Tamandua tetradactyla: one gene and its partners. The protein of the gene in region 1 interacts with the protein of each later gene in a pairwise test. Links are inferred from orthologs where the notes say so. Each region holds a gene or a part of one and is shown in the gene's direction. Other genes may lie near its edges. The genes, in order: HOXA1, NELL2 and EGFL7.

Region 1 (6,312 bases):
CGAGTGCATGCTTTTGACACCAAGAAAACCTCCCCACCCAGGCTGTCTTAGTAAGGAACCCAGGAGAGAAGGGAGGTGGAGGGAGAGGAGTGCGGAGGCCGGGAGCTAGCAGAGGAGGCGACAAGGCTGAGGCCGGTGGCGGCTTTGTGGAGGACGCCCTGCGGCCCAGGGGGGTCGCGCAAACCCCGGCGGAGGAGGCCAACAAAGGTATAGGAATAAGGCAAGGGGGGAGAACGTACGGATGAGCTTTGGCTCCGAGAGTAGATCACCCACACTGCCAGCTCATACTCTCCACCTCAGCCCCACCCCCACAGGATCCCTTCTCCTCCTATTCCGCTGCAGGCCTGGCGCTCCCAAGGAAGCCGCTTCCAGGCGAGTCGTCTTGCCTTTTCCCTTCTCCAGAAGCTGGAACTGAGGCAGTAGTGACCTTTTCTGTACGTGCTCCCACTTAAACCAAGTTTGAGGATGGGTCAAAGTTCACAGAAAAATACCATTCCAAAGGAAGTGTTTGGGGAACCCATTTTTTTTTTTTTTTTGCTGCTGCTGAGGGAGTCCAGCGTTAAAGGTCTGCAAGGGTTTTCCCTTCTGAGATGACAGATTTGGGGGGAGACTTTATATTTGGAGAACAGAACACAGGGGCCTGAAAGGGTGCCTAACACATTTGAAATATGCCTGCCTCAAGCAAAACATTGTTGTTCTAACTGGGGGAGGGGAGGTAGGCAAGAAGTAGGAATCCCAAACCCACATACAGTCCTCATAATAATTTTCATCTGTCAGATTCAATGTTGTAAACACCATCAGAGTAAAATCTATAGAACAGTGGCTGCAAAGCTTCTTGGCTGATTTCTGCTACCTAAGCATGCATCAATTCTCTGCCTCTGGACTTTTCTCTCTACAAGCCCGTGGTTGACTCGAAACCTAATAGTAAATAGCAATTAACGACACCATCAGTATCAGGGTAGGATAAGTGTGATGAAGACCAGGACCTCTGGCTTGGGATGATGCTCAGATTTGCACGTGCCTCTCTGGGGAAACACTTGACTCACATAGGCAGCTACACAGTAAGTTGGAAAGGGGAGGAGGTATCGTTGGGGAAGAGGAAAGTGTCTAGTGTCCACCATCAGCCATCTGTCCACCACCCCTCCCACCTGCTAGCCCCCACCCCCACTCCAGACATGCAATGCAACCGAATCTAGTGTGTGTGTGTGTGTGTGTGTGTGTGTGTGTGTGTGTATGGGGGGGGGTGTTGGAGGAGGATCTCCTACTCGTAAATCCCCTCTCCAGAAAGAGAGAAACGAAGGAGAGAGGAGAGCTGAGCACACTTTGTTGGAGCTGTGGTCTGGCCCTTCGAGGCCCCACCCGGAGCGCGCAGGCTCCTGGGTCCTGGGGAGCCGGCAGATGGTCTGCAGCGCGCGGTTCGGCCCCTACGCAGGCCACGTCCGCTAGCGTCATCTCTCTCCCCCGCCTCCTACCCCTCAAAATCCAGCGGCCGAGTTGCTCGGGATCCCGAAGGGCTCCCGGAGCAAAGCTGAGTGGGAAGGAGAAAGGGGCGGGAACGAGGAGAGAGAGAGAGAGAGGGTGGAGAAGAGTCCGGCCATCCCAGGCCTTTGCTGACAAGCTCTGCTGCAAGGGCTCACCCGCCCCGGGGCGTCGAATTACATAAGCTCCTCATTGCCATGCTAATGGCAACGGTGTAGGGCGGAAAAGGAGCATCAGAGACCCTCCTAGGAAAAGGGAATTTTCTTTTCTTGAGCTCGCCGCTCCACACCCATCCGGGATTCCTCTCAGTCAGTCCTCCGCGCACTTCCTTCTCGGCTCGGAGAGCTGGTGGCCCAGCCTCGCTCTCCACCACCATTTTCTGCATTCCTTACCGCCCCAGGGTCCCGGAGCACGGACAGTGCAGTAAAAGCGATCCGGGAAACTGGGGCTTACGCAGGTCTTGTTTCCTACCCTTTCTGTTCCGCCCAGACAGTTCCGGCCGCTTTATCCCTCACCCGAGAGAGCCGAGAGCCCTCTTCCCTTCTCACCTTTCGCCAGTTCATCTTTCTGTACACAGCTGAGAGGGGAACGCTGGTGGGGGATGCCCTCAGCCCCTACTTCCCGCAGGGGCGGGGGCCGAGCGGAGTTGAGCGCGCGTGGAAAGCAGCCTCTCCTCCCCTTCGCCCCAGTGCTCGGAATCAGTCGTAGCAGCCGCCGCAGCTACTGCCACGGCCTGGGCTGCCTAGGGGGGCGACTGCGCGTCACCTAGACGGAGGAGCGCCGGGGATTTAAATGCCACTGAAACAGTGATCCATCACCGCGGGAGTCGGCAAACTTTCGCAGGGGGCTCAGCGATTGGCTGGCACAGTCACGTGCCCCTCCCTAGAGCCCTCCGCCCTCCGCCCCCTGTCTTGCGCACTGTACATTCATATCATTTTTCTTCTTCGACCCCATGGAGGAAGTGAGAAAGTTGGCACGGTCACCCAGGGCTTCGCAGGACCTGGTCACTCAGTGACAGATGGACAATGCAAGAATGAGCTCCTTCCTGGAATACCCCATTCTCAGCGGAGGCGACTCCGGGACCTGCTCAGCGCTAGCCTACCCTTCCGACCATGGGATTACAACTTTCCAGTCGTGCGCAGTCAGTGCCAACAGCTGCGGCGGCGACGACCGCTTCCTAGTGGGGAGGGGTGTGCAGATCAGCCCTCCCCCCCACCATCACCTCCACCATCACCACTCCCAGCCAGCCACATACCAGACTCCTGGGAATCTGGGGGTGTCCTACTCCCACTCGAGTTGTGGCCCAGGCTACGGCGCTCAGAACTTCGGCGCGCCTTACAGTCCCTACGCGTTAAATCAGGAAGCAGAAGTAAGTGGTGGGTACCCCCCGTGCGCTCCCGCTGTTTACTCTGGAAATCTCTCATCTCCCATGGTCCAGCATCACCACCACCACCAGGGTTATGCCGGGGGCACGGTGGGCTCGCCTCAGTACATCCATCACTCATATGGACAAGAGCATCAGAACCTGGCCCTGGCCACGTATAATAACTCCTTGTCCCCTCTCCACGCCAGCCAAGAAGCCTGTCGCTCTCCTGCGTCGGAGACATCTTCTCCAGCGCAGACCTTTGACTGGATGAAAGTCAAAAGAAACCCTCCCAAAACAGGTCAGTCCCCGTCTACTGCTGGCCGGTGGATGCTCTTTGATGATACTGGAAGAAGCTGGTATGCTTAGTTTGCAAGGAAAATTCCTAATGATTTTTTTTTTTAAGTTCTTGCTTCCGACAGATGTTGTAGGGTATGGGGAGATTGCCCAGATGTTTTGGGGCAAAGAAGGCTCTGAGACACGTGTTTCCAAGTGGGCTGAGTTTTAGAGGTTTTGTAAGTAGGAAGGGGAGGGGATGTATTTTGCTAATATCTCTAGGCTTCATTAATCACTCGTCTGACCACGTCTTTACACTTCATCACTCACCCTTCGTAGCCTGATTTGTGCTGAGAAGTTCTTGATCTCCCTTTGCTCTAAAGCCTGTAGGGGATAAATGTCCCTCATATCAATTTTTAAATTTTTACCTTTTTCCCTCACCAATTCCTACTCTGTCTCCAGGAAAAGTTGGAGAATATGGCTATGTGGGTCAACCCAATGCGGTGCGCACCAACTTCACCACCAAGCAACTGACGGAGCTGGAGAAGGAGTTCCACTTCAACAAGTATCTGACGCGTGCCCGCAGGGTGGAGATCGCTGCGTCCCTGCAGCTCAACGAGACCCAGGTGAAGATCTGGTTCCAGAACCGCCGAATGAAGCAGAAGAAGCGAGAGAAGGAAGGGCTTCTGCCCATCTCTCCGGCTACTCCGCCCGTAAGCGATGAAAAGGCCGAGGAATCCTCAGAGAAGTCCAGCTCCTCTCCCTGCGTTCCCTCCCCAGGATCTTCTACCTCAGACACCCTGACCACCTCTCACTGAGGAGGCCACCCCAGCCCAAGGCTCCACAGTCCAGGCTTCTCAGGCTGGGACTTCTTACCCAAAGCACATTCTTAGCTTATCTTCCTTTCCATTGACAGTCTCTCTCTTCCTTTCTGATCCTATCTGGGAACTCCTGGCCGAGTTAATGTGTTTCCAGAGAGTTCTGGACCAGACCTGGTGGGAGATTTACTCCTTAATCCAGATTGGGTGCCAGCATCAATTTTCTGATGGTCCCTACAACCCCTTCCTGCCTTTTAAGGGTATTTCCAGGAACCTACTATTCCTTTCCAGATGTCCTTTGGAGAATAGACCCCTTTGCCAGCAGAAACATATCAGGGAGAGGCTTCTCATCTTTTATCAATCTGTATCTTTACAGTTGTCCCCTACTCTGATCTTAAAAGTAGAATAGAAAGACAGGAAAGAGTTCAGGAGCTCATGAAGAATAGATGCACTATGAGTGTGTTTACACAATTCATTCATTCCTTAATTTAATTCAGTTTCATGTATAAGTTGGCTTTGTAAATACTTTGACTGAGAGATTTATCTTTATACAGATTTTCTAGGAAAGTTTAGTTTAATTGACTCAAACAGGGTGGGCAAACTCTCATGGCTCCTACAATTTTATATGTGATTATAGGTGAAAGAATAAATTTCCTTATTGAAACCCAATCGGATGCCTCAGAGGATAGCCTTGATTTGTTCTTTCAGTGAGCTAAGAAGGCCTGTAGAGCACAAGGTTCACAAACCTGGCTTCCTGTATTAAATTTTTCCCCATCCCCTTTTTTCTTGCTTCTCTGGTTACTTTCCATTAAAAATTTGTGCTGGATTATTCTGAACCTAAAGGCATTATTCAAACCAGCTTCTTCCTTCCACAGTTACTGTAGCTGGATATGATGTATTTTCAGCTCAATTGTTAATGTGATGGATGGCACAATGAATGTATATTTTGTGTGATTGGTGAATAGTCTTTTGCATGTCGCACAATGTTTTGATGTCTCTGAAGTACCACACTGAGTTCTATCAGTTATCCTTGGTGAGCCTTTGATTTCCCATTTTCTGTACAATCATGACTAGCTCTGAGATCCTGGAGTGATGTGATCCGGAGCAGAGTTTACGGGTCTTAAGATGTCTGTAATAAATATATTCAATTTCAGGTATGCTTAAATGTCAGTGTATTTGACTGGGATACAATTTGTTGATTCCTACGAAGTTGTCTATTTCATTTGGGGATGGGGAGAAAGAATGATATGAATTTTCCAAGTGGGCCTTTTCTTGCATAAAAGTGAATACCCTCCATTTTCATGTAGCTGAAACTTCTTCACGACTTTAATTTCACCAGATTCTGGTATGACACCTTACCAATGTTATTTAATAGCTTGATTTTCTTTAAAATAACAACAGCTTCTTTATAATAATTGACATTTATAATGGAAAAAATGAACGGTGAGGAAATTTATGAAGAAGAGCTATTGCTGAAACAATCATGGATACTTCCTGGGTCAAGTGCTAACCTTTTCACCTCCAACTGAATGTTGACATATATATAAACAGAACCTCTCTTCAAAAGCTGAAACTGTCTTCAGTCAGTCTTTCCTCACATCAGTGAACCTAGAGCGAACAGATTCTCATTTAATTAGCTCCAGTATAAAGCTGTTGTGAGGATGGAGCCCTCACTCCACCCGTCTTTCCTTCTTTTTAGATTGCTGTGCAGTGTTCCAATATATTCCAGCCTTTAAATTTAGTGGGGTCTGCTTTCAGTAAACCCTTATACCCCTCCCCCATTCCTCCCTTCAACATCTATCCCTTGCATTGTTTCCCAACCCCCTCTAGGTTGCACATCTCATTCCCTTCAGACTCAATTTTTATTTCATAGCCAACATGGCTGCGGTGAGTCCACAGTTCTAATTCCATGCAATATAACCCAGAAAAAAAGTTTTTAAAATTTTATTTTCTGGGCTCAATAGTTCCTTCCAGGTGAACTTGTCCCTGTGCCTTGAAGTCTTTCAATATCCAAATTGCTTCAACCCTGGCATCTGCCTGCTCTCAGGGGAAGCCAGCAAATGAAAGAGTTCAAAGTGCTCCTCCCAGACCTCTTACCACTTTTTCTTTACTTTCACACATTTTTTGGAGGCTTTAATTTAGCTCCAAAGTACAGCAGAAAATTTACAGCATCCCAAACAAATACAGACATACGACTTCCTTCCTCCGCAAAGAATGTTTTACAAAGGATGGGGGGGGTGGGGGTGGAGGGGCATACAAAAGTTTGGAGTTTGCAGGCATCCTAGAGCACCAGTGAGATTTCCTGCACTTCCCTGTCAAAGGCGGCAAGCCTGGACTCTGCAGGCACAGTTGCTGCGGCCATATCAAGGGCGCAGG
Region 2 (6,312 bases), on another chromosome or scaffold:
TGTTTGGTTATCCAGAAAAATAGTATGTCATTAAAATACTCTTTATATGCAACTCTTGGAACATATCCCATACATAATGTATTCACAAAAAGTTCATTTTTTTTTTTTACATCTTATCACATAATATCACATAAGGAAGCACAGTTCTGATGCACTTCAATTGAATTATGCTTCTCTTTTTGACAGAATAGGGAAATACATTCATAAGAATGAACAAACACACCTTGAGCTACCTAATTTTTTGAGGAGGCAGAGAGAAGCACATTAACATTATCCTGTTATTAAAACATCTATGGGAAAGGCATTTTGGGCATCTAATAGCTGTTGCTTTTCTAAATTGTGTGCCAGAAATATTTTATATCAAAACTTGATGACAGTGACTCTTCAAAAAAAATAAACTCCTAGAAAAATACTTTACATAACTGTAGCTTTATAATGTGGATCTGGAAAAAAAATTCTTTTGCCTTTTCTCACATTGAATCTTTTGGTATTTAATTCAAACTGGCTCAAAGATTAATTTTTATAATTGACTGGTACAGCAAATTCTAAGCTATTTCTCATATGGTTAGAGACAGTGGTTGAGTTCATGGGACAGAATGCACCACTACAACATTCTCACAGCAATATTTATAAATGTTCAGTCAAATGAATTAATTTTTCTTCCTAAACCAATTCATTAATTTACAAATCAAGAAATAGAAATGGTAGAATGCTAAACAGAGTCTGGACAGGAAATGAGAAGATTCTATAATTCTTTAAGATGGGTATTAGTGTCAATCTATTATGACACTTTTTAATGAGGTGTAAATTCTAGTGTAATATGTGTATGAACCACTTAGTATCACTTGCAATTTATTCTTCAACTACTAATGAATTCCTCCCATCTTGCTATCCTGGAAATACATGTCCTAGGCCAGTAGGGATTCCAAAGGAGAAAACAGATGGGTCAGTGGAAATCCATCATCATTACAAGGGGAAAAAAGAATGGGGGGAAAACCTCAACTCTGAACTCCAAGCACATGGCCTGCTATAAAGAGACTAGACAAAAGCTACTCTATTAGTTATAAATTGTGCATTAACTATTTTCTTGATTAAAGGATGGAGAACTCTCTTTTAATAGTTATCTCTGTGTATCCTGGATGCTTTCCTTTGTAAAAATATAATTAACAGAAACTAATGGAAAAATTGACAGAAACATCTCTTAGGGTGATCCTATTTCTATAGCCCCATCCTCCATTAAGAATCTGAGTGCTAGTTCAGGGTCTCCAGACAGTAACTTGAGCCTTCCTCTTTTCTTATAAAAGAAAAATGCAGCCCAAACTTTGTGGTCTCTTGAGAGCTGTCAGGGAGAAAAGAATGTAATTAACATGGGGGATATTTGTGGGGTGAGGGCTGGGGAAAACTGACTTTAAACTTTAAAACCTAGGCTGAGGATATAATGCAATTTAAATGCAGTGTCCAAGGAGTCTAATGCACAGACAAACTGGACAGGGGAAACTCCTGGTGGTAGCTGAGTCTTGTGTCAGATGGTTTGGAGCTATGTATGTACTCAAGGAAAAAAAAAGCTCTTAAACTTACTTCATTCCTGTTGGTATAAAACCACTGTAAGTTGGACCCTTTTGGTGAGGTCAGTTGACACGTGGCTCAACTCAATCAGGATGGGTTTAATCCTATTACTTCAGTCGTTTGTAAGCAGAATGGAAGTCGGATGGACAGAGAGAAAGCCGCAGGAAGCAGGAAGCTGGAAGCTGGAAGTCAATGGAATGCAGAAGAGAAGGGAAGGCCAAGAGAGGCATCATGTTCATTGCCATTTGACAGAGGAGCCCAGGAACAAGGAGCACTGGCAGCCAGCCCCAGAATACTCGTCTTTGGGAAGAAAGCATTGCCTTGATGATGCTTGATTTGGATTTTCCTAGAAGACTTAAAATCGTGAGCCAATAAATTCCCATTGTTTAGGCCAGCCTATTGCATGGCATTTGCTTTAACAACAAAGAAACTAAAACAGGTGGAATTGGAGTTGTCGAGCAGGGAGCCATTGGTGCCTGATGGTGGGATGTTTCACAGAGGGAGCCTCTAAGCAAAGACCATCACCAGGGAAGGGGACCGGCCAGGGTTTGCTAGGTCCATTGGCCTCTCTTGACTACATCTCCTCCCCACCATGCTGATTCTAGAAACTAATTCAGGATGAGGCGCTCTTCCGCTTGGGAACCAAAGATAACAAGCATGCAGAAGAAAGTTCACTGGCTACCCCTGGTGAGGTTAGGAAGATTGCCAGCAGGACATACCAGGTATGGCTTTTACTGGCCTGGAATCTGGGTGGATATTGACAGAGATGTCAGATTTTGTTAAAGTTTTGGGGGACAACACTCAATGATACTACCCAGAGTCACAGAGATTCCAACTGTATTAGGTTATATAAAAGTACCCAAAATAACAAGTACAACTTCCTTTTATTTAATACATTATATGTTTGGAACACTATTTATACCAAGCACTTTACATTCTACAGATAAGGAAGCTAAAACTTAGAGGGATTAAATCTATTATTTATTTACTCATCACCTCATGCTAGTAAAAGGAAGTTCTAGAATTTCAACTCAAGTCTGTTTGATCTCAACTCTTGTACATGCTGTACTGTTTTCTCATTCTTATCTGTAACTTGTTTCTTTCAGGGCAACATACTTCTTCCGCATGAAAAGCTAAAAACCTCTTGGTAGGAAGATATTTCTCTGCTAAGCATGTCGAGCATCGATGACGCAAGAGGTATCTTCACCGGTGTCTATGCCCTACATCCTCAGAGTCTCGCTTTTAGCCTCAGCGCTGGGTGCTGGGTGCTGGCTGGTGTTCGGAACGTGAACTTGCTCCCATGCATGGAACTGTTCCCTAGTAGGGCCCCCAGGGGGCAGACTGCAGCAGCGATCGCCTGGAGCCCTCTAGTGGTCACGAGGAAGCTCAGCGTTCCTAGGAACATTCTCAAAGCCCAGCCAGTGTTGCCCAGGGAAGCAAGGCTGTGTGACACCCCTAGAGTCACCCTTATAGTGTCCCTTTAGGTGCCTCTGGGGCATGTCCACTGGCCCTGCCTCAACTCAAGATGACTTCTCAGACCTGCCAAGGGTGCTCTTTCGGATGCTGCAGGGTAGATTCTATCACTAAATTTCGGGAAGAATCTAATACAGGTATCTAGAGGACGTGGCAGGAAATCTCAAATTTATTTTTGTATGTCCCTCAAAATGCACAGGGTGTTTTATTTAAATTGACTCCCAGAAGCATCCCTGGATATCTTATACTTTCCCAAGGTAAATATTTAACTAATGCTAGTAACACTTTTAGGTTACATGGGGTAATATAATTATGATTTTCTGGGATGTTTCTAGTTATATTTATAGGATATATTTAAATAATATTGGTAAACCATGCATAGTTTAATGCATAATGCCATTAGCTTGTTTTTCATGACTGCAATGTAATTATGATGACATATTTCATTAGTTTTTCCCTATTCTTTAATAACATAACTCTAGATTATTTTTATTTTTTTGAGTGTAAATATATGAGTGTATTTAAACATACATATATTTTAACAGATTTATTTTGGTTATCAAATGTAGATAGCAACTTTATCTATTTCACTGTCTCCACTAGAATGTACTGATGTCATTTTCTCATTGTATTTAAAATAGACCAATTTATTTTGGAAAAAAAAAAGCCGCTTTTATAAAATTGCAATAGAAAATACTTTGTATTCATGGAAAAAGATACAATTTCTTAATGAAATAGGAAATAATTTCCACTAGGCATATCCTGTTAAAAATCATCCAGTTACCCACTTAACTATTACAAACAAATCAATTACTAAAACTCATTTGTTGATAAAATATTTACAAGGTGACTCAGTACAATGTTAAGTGCTGTAGAAGATACAAATAGGAATGTGACATGATTCCTGTTCTCAAAGTTCAGGGGGAGAAGCAAAGACAAGTAACTATCCTTTAAAGAAGACAAATTAACAGTGGAATCCCATCATCTCAGCAAAACAAAAGTAAACTAACAACCCCAGAAATAAAAAAGGGAGACAAAAATTACAATTTAAATAGTTCTGTTAGTACTGCTCATCATTCCTTTCAGTGGTTGCTTGGAGTAAGCATGAGGCGAGATGTGACTGTGTGGTTCCCTCAGTTTGTCTCTGTTCAGGGGCCCTCTCAAGCATAAGCATATTACTGAGCTGAGTGTGATTCTAATTTTTAGAGATATGCATATATGCATTTTTTTCATGTAAAATGGATCTTCCAACTGCTTCAACTGGTGCTTAACCAAAGAAACAGGAATCTGTTTCATTTAATGAGGGAAAAACAGGCTGTGCTGAATCAACTCATGGTCTCCAGGGGAGTACTTGTTGGAGGACTTTGCAGGGTAATTTTGATTATTCATGATTTTCTCATTTCTATTTTAGAATCTAGGAGGTATAACTCTATTGTAAGATATGTTTCATTAGAGAGGTACAAACAGCGTGCAGGGGCTTAGATGGCAAGTTAGATAGTTTGACTTTATTCTGATATACAGTAAGATGCTGTTAAGGGATTCTGAATGAAGATGGTCATCAAATTAGGTTTTGGGAGATTCATTTGGCAGTAATATTTTAGATAGGAAGGTGAAAAAACTAGAGAGAGAGAGACAATTAAGAAGCTATTATGATTGCTGAAGTAAATAAGAGGTAATGACGGTCAGACCTAGGGTAGAGGCAGAATATATTAACCTTTTTAACTGACTAGGATGGATTACAAATAGAGGTTTTAAATTGGGAAACCATGAGATTGGTGGCTCCTTTAATTAGAATTAGGGAAATCAGGAGAACTGGTTTTGGCTAGGGAGATAAGCATGATATTAGGAGTGCGAGGTGACCATGGGATATCCAGGTGGATATGTTCAGCAAGGGATTGGATGTTGGAAAGGATTGTAAAATTGTTTGGGTTTGTGGTATATTCTGTTTAGGAATGGCAGTTCAAATTATGAGAGCAGACAAATGGCTAATGAAGATCAACCTTAGAGGAAAAAAAAGAAGGCCAAGTACAGATTTTGGGGGATTATGTGCTTTTGAAATGAGTAAGGGAACCAAAGAAACAATGTTGAAGAAAAACATTCAGGGTAAGAGAATTTTAGGACAGGAGACATTAAGTGGTGCTGAAAGTTCAAGAACTAAATAGAAATAAGGAACTAATGTTGGATGTAGCGAAGAATATAATAGGGGAATAAGAAATATTCTAAAAATCTCTTATTTAGGTGAGATAATTTCAGGAAGAAGGGCTGGTAAATGATTTAAGTGTTGTTGAAATTTCAAGGAGATGGAAAATGAATTTGGAAAATTGAGAATTAAAATCCAAAATTAAGATATGTGGTCTATCAAAGGATTTTTTCCTGATTTATAAATTTGTGTTGAGACTTACAAATGTATAAAAATCTGCTTATATTTAGTTATACTAAACATATAAAAATAAAACTCTATATTGTAATAATAATAACTTATATATAATTTGTAACTACTCTTAATAATGCAAATGTAGGAAACTGATGTTTTCTCAGAAATGGATACCAGAGTTGTCGTTAGTGATTTATAAGAGTGTGGGCTAAAGATAGATTGCAAGCCAAAGAATAATTGGAGTTGAAGAAATACAGGCTTAGAGTTCATCTTTAGTGTATTTTTCAACCTTTTTATGTGCACATACTATTCTGAAATCACTTAATATGTAACAACTTTTGTCCATGCCCAGTACTAAAAAAAAAATAAGAAAATATCATACAGCATTTGCTGCCATAGAAGTGAAACTAGAAATATACAGAAACTACGTTTTAGTGCATAATCTGGAGAGTTCATGCAAGGGTTCAATAGAAGAAGAGGGGTTCCATGATGCCTTAATAATGTCAACATATATTTACGGTTCCTTCTTCCCATTTGTGAAATGCTGTAATTCTTTGTATCCTACGTCCGAAAGCCTTTGAAGTAGTGGGGTAGAAGATAGGAACCCTTCTACTGCAGAGAGATTTCCCGTATCAGACACTGACAGGGGTAGGGTGATGGCGCAATACCAATCCTTCCCTGAGTACTGAGGCTGTATTTGTGAGATATGGCTTCCTCATCTGAGCAATATGTATTTTACATTGGGCCTTTTCAGGCACTTAAAACAATTATGGATCATAGAGAATTAACTATGGCCTTTAGAACATATTAGGTTTAATGAGATAAGAAACATGATCACTATTCTTAAGGAATCAAGTTAGCATAAAATGGGAGAAAAATGAGTTGGCAATCTTTGTCTC
Region 3 (6,312 bases), on another chromosome or scaffold:
CACATACCGGGAACTTCCCTTTCCGCCCGTGAGATAAAGTGTTTTTTCCTTTCGACGGTAACGGCCGCCCCATTGGGCTTGGCGAGTCTCTGCTGAGCCTGAGTGGGCTTCCGTCCAGGGCGCCGGGCGGGGAGGGGGCAGCCGTGGGGTCCACAGGCCCCTCTTCCTCGGACCACCCCCCCACCGCCTAGGAGCGGGTGGGAGGCAGCTTCCATGGCCTAGAAGAGCCAGAGACCCCGAAGGCTGGACGCCAGACAGAGAGCCCCAGCCGTGAGGCCCAGGGTGAGGCTGGGTCTCCCTCGTCTGGCTCAGGCCCCCCATGTCTGCTCAGCTCAGCACAGCACCCACCCCACCCCCGTCAATCCATCCCTGTCCCGGCCAACAGGCCCGGCACTTAGGAGAGACCTTTCATGGAGGTTCCTGGGGAGCTGGGGTGGGCCACCCTGCACACCCCCAGCAGAAAGGACACTGGGAGACCCCCCCAGGTTCACTCGCCAGCTGATGACCTCTCTCTTACTCTGCCCACCCAGACTCCACATGAGCTTGGTGCCTTCCCGAGCCTCCCCCGGGCCCCCACCCCTGCTCAGAGTGAGTTTCCGAAATATTTCCCCGGGGATGAATTCTGCTGTTCAGTAAAGAAGTGCTTCGATTTCCCACGTTAAAAAAGAACAATGTAGATCCTGATGAAAATGCAACTATGTGAGGGTATTGTGAATCACTGATTATATAGGTAGAATGGAATGATCATACGTGAAGAACGTTTGTGTTTGTCTGTTGTTGTATTTTTTAAAAAAATTCAAAAGTTAATAAAAAAAATTTTAAAAGAGGGAATCATGTGGAAAGAGCTGAAGAAAGAAAATGTCCCCGGGAAGCTGTTTGAAACCAGAAGCTAAGGGAGCAGCAGACGCCAGCCATGTGCCCTCCCAGACCAGCCTTTCTTGAGTCAAAGAATCTTTCTCTGGATGCCTTAGTTTGAACATTCTAACGGCCTTAGAAATTCAAATTTGTAACTTAATAAATTCCCTTTATAAAAACCATAATAATAATAATAATAATAATGACGATGATGATGCGGGGACTCCACAAGGGAGGCTAAAATGAAAACAGCAACACTACGAAGTGCTGGCGAGGGTGTGGGGCACAGCGGCAGCACTGCACGGCCATGGGCCACTCCCGCTGACCGCCAACCTCCCACCCAGGAGTGGGGCTGGGGGCATGTGCCTGGGACAGAGACAAGCAGCCGCCCCTGAACCCACACCTGCAGCAGGACTGACCAACAGCCGCAGCCCCAGAGGGTCTTCCAAACAGAATCCCCCACGGGGCAGAAGGAGCTGGAGTCCACTGATCTGAGACCCCAAGTGGGCAAAACCATGTCCGGCTGCTGGATGTCAGAGAGGGTCACCCCCAGGGCTGTCTCTTGGCCGAGGTGCTGTCCTGGGGTGGGCGGCTTGCCCTGCGGACATCTGCCATGATGGAAGTCTGCCCTCCATCTGTACGTCTGGGGGTGTCCACAAGGTCCTTCTTTTTCGGCTCCTCCCGGGTGCCAGACTCTGTCCTGGGGGCAGGCTGGCAGGGGTGGGCAAGGCTGCGAGGCCTGGAGACAGGGGCCTTGGCCCGTGGTGCCCGAGACAGGCGGGGACAGGGGCGGGGAGGGAAGGGGCAACTCCAGCAAGTTCTGGGGACAGAGCTCTGGGGGCTCGCTGAGGACCCCAATGTGCGGCCCTGGCTGGGGCAGTGCGGGACAGACCCCAGGGAGGGGGCTGTGGCCGAGTGGGTGTCCCCGAGGGACAGAGGCCACGGAGCGGGAGGAAGAAGGGCCAGCCAGACACCCTGGGCTCCATGTCCCTTTGCCCCCATTTCCCGGCCGGTGACTATGGACATGTGACACCAGTCCCCTCCTCCGACCTTCATCTGAAAATGGAAAATTCTCAGAATAAAGGTGTTCCGTGGGGGGCTGGGTGCCAGGGGTGACCACAGGGCCCAGCATGGGGTGCTTTCCACACACACAGTGCAGGGATCTGGGAACAGCGTGTGGGGGAGGGAACACAGGGAGGAAGGGAAACAGGGAAGGAGGGAGGGGGAGGGCCCCGGCCGGCCCGCTGCCCTCTGGGACCCCTGCACATCACCATGTAAGCCTCTCCCCCACCCCACCCCGGGCATGGGGCCCACTCAGGTGTACAGAGGCCACCTGGCCCACAGGCACCTGTGCCCGGCCGCCTCCCCCCAGCCCCACCAGGGACGGCCACTGGGCCCAGCGCATCCTTTGGTGCAGTGCTCGGCCCGCCGCCCGACAGAACCGTCCCATCCCCGCGGCCAGTGCGGGGGTGAACAGGAAGCCCCATCTCTCCCCTGCGCTGCCTTCTTGTCTTTCCTTCCTGCAGCCCTGCGCGCACGCCCCATGCCCCCCGGCCTCGCGGCTGCCTGTGATGCCCACTCTGGTCTCTGCTGAGGACTCGGCCCGCTCTCTCCCCGGGCCGCAGAGCCCAGACACTCAGAGGTGAGGGTCTCTGGAGGGTCCCCGGAGGGCCTGGTGGGACTGGGAAGCTCTGGCAGTCCCCACCCCGCCCCGCCGCTGACCAGTGTGCTCCAGGAAGGTAAGGCAGCCTCCCTCACTGCCCGCACCCCCCATTCAAGCCCAGGCGGGAAGGGCCGCTCTGGATCCAGCCCTGCAGCGACAAGGGATGGTGGGGGGGCGGCAGGGGGGATCTGAGCAACTTGGAGGCAAAGCTGGACCCAGATGGCCAAGCCCAGCCGGGTGGCCTCTGCTCTGAGGCCCCCGAGCAGCCCAGGCGGACATGCGGAGCATCTGGAGAACACCAGCCAGTCCCTCCTGGCCTCTAGCTCTGAGCTGGTCTGTGCAGTGAAGCTGGAGAGGGGGCGCAGATGTGGGGGTGCAGGCCTGGGCAGGAGCCCCCACTGCCCCCTTTTAAAAAAATGATTCACTGCAGGCAGAATGTGTTGGATGACCCTAAACAGATGCTATCAAGGAGGGAAGAGGCTGAGGTGCCCAACAGCTTCCTGGGGGTGCAGCCCTAAGGATGGGAGGGGGTACACAGCCTGCCCCACACTGAGTCCCCCCAGACCCCAAGCTCCACCCACTGCAGCACCGCCCCAGGGGATGGGCTGCCCAGGCAAAAAGGGCCCCTAGCCCTTCTCTGGACACCCAGCCCAACCAGAACCAGTGTAAGCAGGTGGCCAGCCAGCACCCGTTCCTGGCCCACCTCAGCTTCAGAGGGGACCTGCTGGGTTGCAAGGGGGATATGCTAGGGGACAAGGCGGGGGCCCAGAGCCCACTCTTCTCCTTGGGCTCGGTTCTGGTCTTGGCCCGGGAGGGAGGGGCTGGGGGTAGGTTTACGTGGGGGGCTCCTTGCAGGGCTGCTCCTCACTTTCCACACTTGAAACCCCACCCTTCCATTTACTTCTGGGCTCTGTGGCATCATTTCCAGAAAGTTCCCCAGCACGCACACCGGTCAGAGGCAGAGTGACCCATTAGCCAAGGCAGGTATTTGGCTAATTACCTACTCCCAACCCTTGGTGCCTCCCCAGACAAGGGACCAGTCTGAAGACTGGGGCGCTGTCCCCGGTTTGGGGACATTAGAAATTGGGGTGTTCATTGAGGAAAGAAGGGCTGAGAGAAGGGGCCCTCCTACAGGATCTGGCCCCCTCCCAGCTCTGCCCACGGCTTCCCTGGGCAGCCCTGCTCCCACCACCTGTCCAGAGCGGATGCCACGTGCCCTGCCCTTTGCTGGTTTCTCACCTGGGGGACAAAAGTGTATCCTGGGCCCGGAGTCTGGGAAGGAGTGACCTGGGCGGCCTGGCTGAAAGCCCCTGGCAGGACGTCCTGCTCCCCTGACTGCAAAGTCCCCAGGTAGGGGAGTGAGGGGGGTCAAGCTAGGCAAGGGGGGACCCTGCCGAGGGTGTGTCCAGGAGGGGTGAGGGCTGGATCCCCTGAGTGGGCTGGCTGGGAAGAGATGGGGTGTGGGGGTCACACCTGAGCCCCCACCCTTGGCGCCCTCGCTCAGATGGCAGTGCCTGAGTGCCAGGGGTATCCGTGAACCAACCAAACCTCCCAGTCACCTCCATTGTCCCTTCTGAGGAGAGGGGGACATTGAGGCTGGGAGAGAAGTGGCCCAGGGCCTAAGAGGCAGGACCTGCCGTGAGCCCCAGGCCTGCCGGCTCCCTGCCCTCACCCGGGCATTGGCAATAGATCCTGGCACAGCCATGGGGGTGGGGAGGGAAGTGGGTAGCACGGCAGGGTGGGGTGGGGGGACAGTTCCGTCCTTGCCTCAGCATTCCAGCGGGGAACCTTCCAAGGTTCGAGCCACCCTCGAGGCCTGAGACGTCCAGCCGGGTGGGGCTGGAAGGAGGTGGGGGCCCACGGAGATGTACGGGGCCAGGAAGAATGGTGGGGAAGGGTGCCCTTGGCAGCAGGGGCGCAGGGGAGGACCCTGCGGTGAGGCTTCTCTCCAAGGAAAGCCGCCCTCGCTCCAGGCACCAGCAGCCAGCGGTGTGGTCTGGGACAAGTGCTCTCTCTGGGACCAGGCACCACTCACCCACGCCTGCTGTGTGAGGGCCACCCAAGGCCCACCCTTATAGCAACTACCCCATTGCCACCTAAATGGGGAAACTGAGATCAGACCTTGTGGCACCCTCTTTGGGACCTAAAGTCTCTCCTGTTCCTTCTTCCTCCCCACCCCTCTGGCTGCTGGAGGCAAAGGAAAGAGGCTGGGGGAGGGGGAAAGAGGGACCTGGAACATGCTTTGTCTTCCGGTCCGGGGGTGCCATCAGCCTGGAGGACCCCTGGGAAGGGCAGCTTGGGTCTTTTGGCCTTCTCTTGCACACGCCCGAGGACAGGGAGCTCATTGCCCCTCCGGACAGCCCTGTCCACAGGGAAACAGCTCAGATTCCTAGCAAAGGCCCGTGTCTCAGAGCCGAAGTCTGTCCACCTTTGGCACCTGCCACCCCAGCTGGTCTGCTCTGGGCCCCAGGGACCTATAGAGCAAGCTGGGCTCAGACCACTCAGTCTGCCCTGCCCATCCCCAAATCCCTTCCAGCGGGGTCCTGCCAAGTCCTCCACTGGCCAAGGCTCTGGCTGTGGCTGGAACCTTCCTGGGGCCAGGAGCCCCTTGAGGTTCACATCTTGAGCCCTCACCCATCTGGAGGTGCAGGCAGGTGTGGGGGAAGAGCCCAGCGTCCCCTGGAGAATGGCCTGTGGCCAAATGTGGGAAGCCCCTTCCATTGAGCTACACGAATGCAGCCTGAGGTCCCACCGACTTTATGGGTCCTGCGGGGGGCGGGGAGGGGGCCTGGGTGTCATGTCCCCCCGACACACTGTAAATGGGATGGGGGAGGTCACCCAATATCACCAGCTAAGTTGCAGCTAAGCACAAACCTAGCTCTGGCTGATTTGAGATTGCAACTCTGCAGTCCCAGGGGACAGCTACCTCCCCCTACCCCAGAGCGCTGCCAGCCACCCCCTCCCTCACCGGCCCCCCAACCCGCCCCTCTGCCTCCTGTTTGTTCTGCTGACGGATCCCTGTTATCAGCGGAGAACACACACAGGAAGTCCGGCCGGGAAGGGCCCATCCCAATCCCGATTTACACGGGACGGAGCATAAAAAGCCGCCCTTCCTCGCCCCGGGAGGAACCCCCTGCCCTAGCCGCTGGCTGGAGCAGCCGGGATGCAGCCTCGAGCAGGCAGGCCGGGCCAGCGGGAACCAGGCCCTGGTGAGGGGCAGGGTCCACCCTGGCCACGAGAGATGGCGGCGGCAGGCATGGCCGAGCCAGGGCCTGGGCAGTGTCAGGTATGGCAGGGACATGCTTGGGCGGGTGGGAGAGGCTCTGAGCTGCCCATGAGCTTCATCCTGGCCTTGGTGGTGCCTGCATGGGCCACGTCGGCCTCCCCATTTTGGTGCCACCCTCCCCACCCCCCTGGCATAGAAGAGACCACCAGGACCACTTGGCTAGGTCACCAGCTGGGGGTGGGGTGGGGTTGGGGGTGTTTGGTGTCCTGACCCCAGCACTTGGCTGCCCAGCGGCTGATACCCCACCCGATACCCCACCCCCAAGCTCGGCACCCCCTTATGTCCCGGAGAGGCCTCAAGAGGCAGGTGCCCAGGAAGTTGGCAGCACAATGTGCATAACTGGGCCCTCTGTGGGGAGATGATGTCCCACCATCCTCCTTTGCTGAGCCCCGGGGTGTCCCAAGGGCAGGGGGCGTCTCCTTAGCTCTCCCCAAGCAATGGGCAAGGGCTCCCAAGGCAGGTTCGGGGAGGAGGTCAACCTAAGGAGTACCCCCAAAGACAAATCTGC

Evidence for each region.
Region 2: the proteins of HOXA1 (region 1) and NELL2 interact in binary tests that used the Homo sapiens proteins (3 or more experiments, as listed by UniProt). The link is inferred for Tamandua tetradactyla from reciprocal best matches to the Homo sapiens genes HOXA1 and NELL2.
Region 3: the proteins of HOXA1 (region 1) and EGFL7 interact in binary tests that used the Homo sapiens proteins (3 or more experiments, as listed by UniProt). The link is inferred for Tamandua tetradactyla from reciprocal best matches to the Homo sapiens genes HOXA1 and EGFL7.

What each region holds. Positions count from the first base shown.
Region 1 is NC_135327.1:96,061,780-96,068,091, forward strand, and holds HOXA1 (homeobox protein Hox-A1), read left to right. Parts: upstream 1-2,439; 5' UTR 2,440-2,497; coding exon 2,498-3,143; intron 3,144-3,580; coding exon 3,581-3,936; 3' UTR 3,937-5,112; downstream 5,113-6,312. UniProt on the Homo sapiens protein: Sequence-specific transcription factor. Regulates multiple developmental processes including brainstem, inner and outer ear, abducens nerve and cardiovascular development and morphogenesis as well as cognition and behavior.
Region 2 is NC_135333.1:104,680,370-104,686,681, reverse strand, and holds the start of NELL2 (protein kinase C-binding protein NELL2), read left to right. Parts: upstream 1-3,038; 5' UTR 3,039-3,176; exon of another isoform or gene 3,177-3,296; intron 3,297-6,312. UniProt on the Homo sapiens protein: Plays multiple roles in neural tissues, regulates neuronal proliferation, survival, differentiation, polarization, as well as axon guidance and synaptic functions.
Region 3 is NC_135328.1:126,215,130-126,221,441, forward strand, and holds the start of EGFL7 (epidermal growth factor-like protein 7), read left to right. Parts: upstream 1-2,408; 5' UTR 2,409-2,426; coding exon 2,427-2,497; intron 2,498-2,558; exon of another isoform or gene 2,559-2,594; intron 2,595-5,737; exon of another isoform or gene 5,738-5,804; intron 5,805-5,811; exon of another isoform or gene 5,812-6,312. UniProt on the Homo sapiens protein: Regulates vascular tubulogenesis in vivo. Inhibits platelet-derived growth factor (PDGF)-BB-induced smooth muscle cell migration and promotes endothelial cell adhesion to the extracellular matrix and angiogenesis.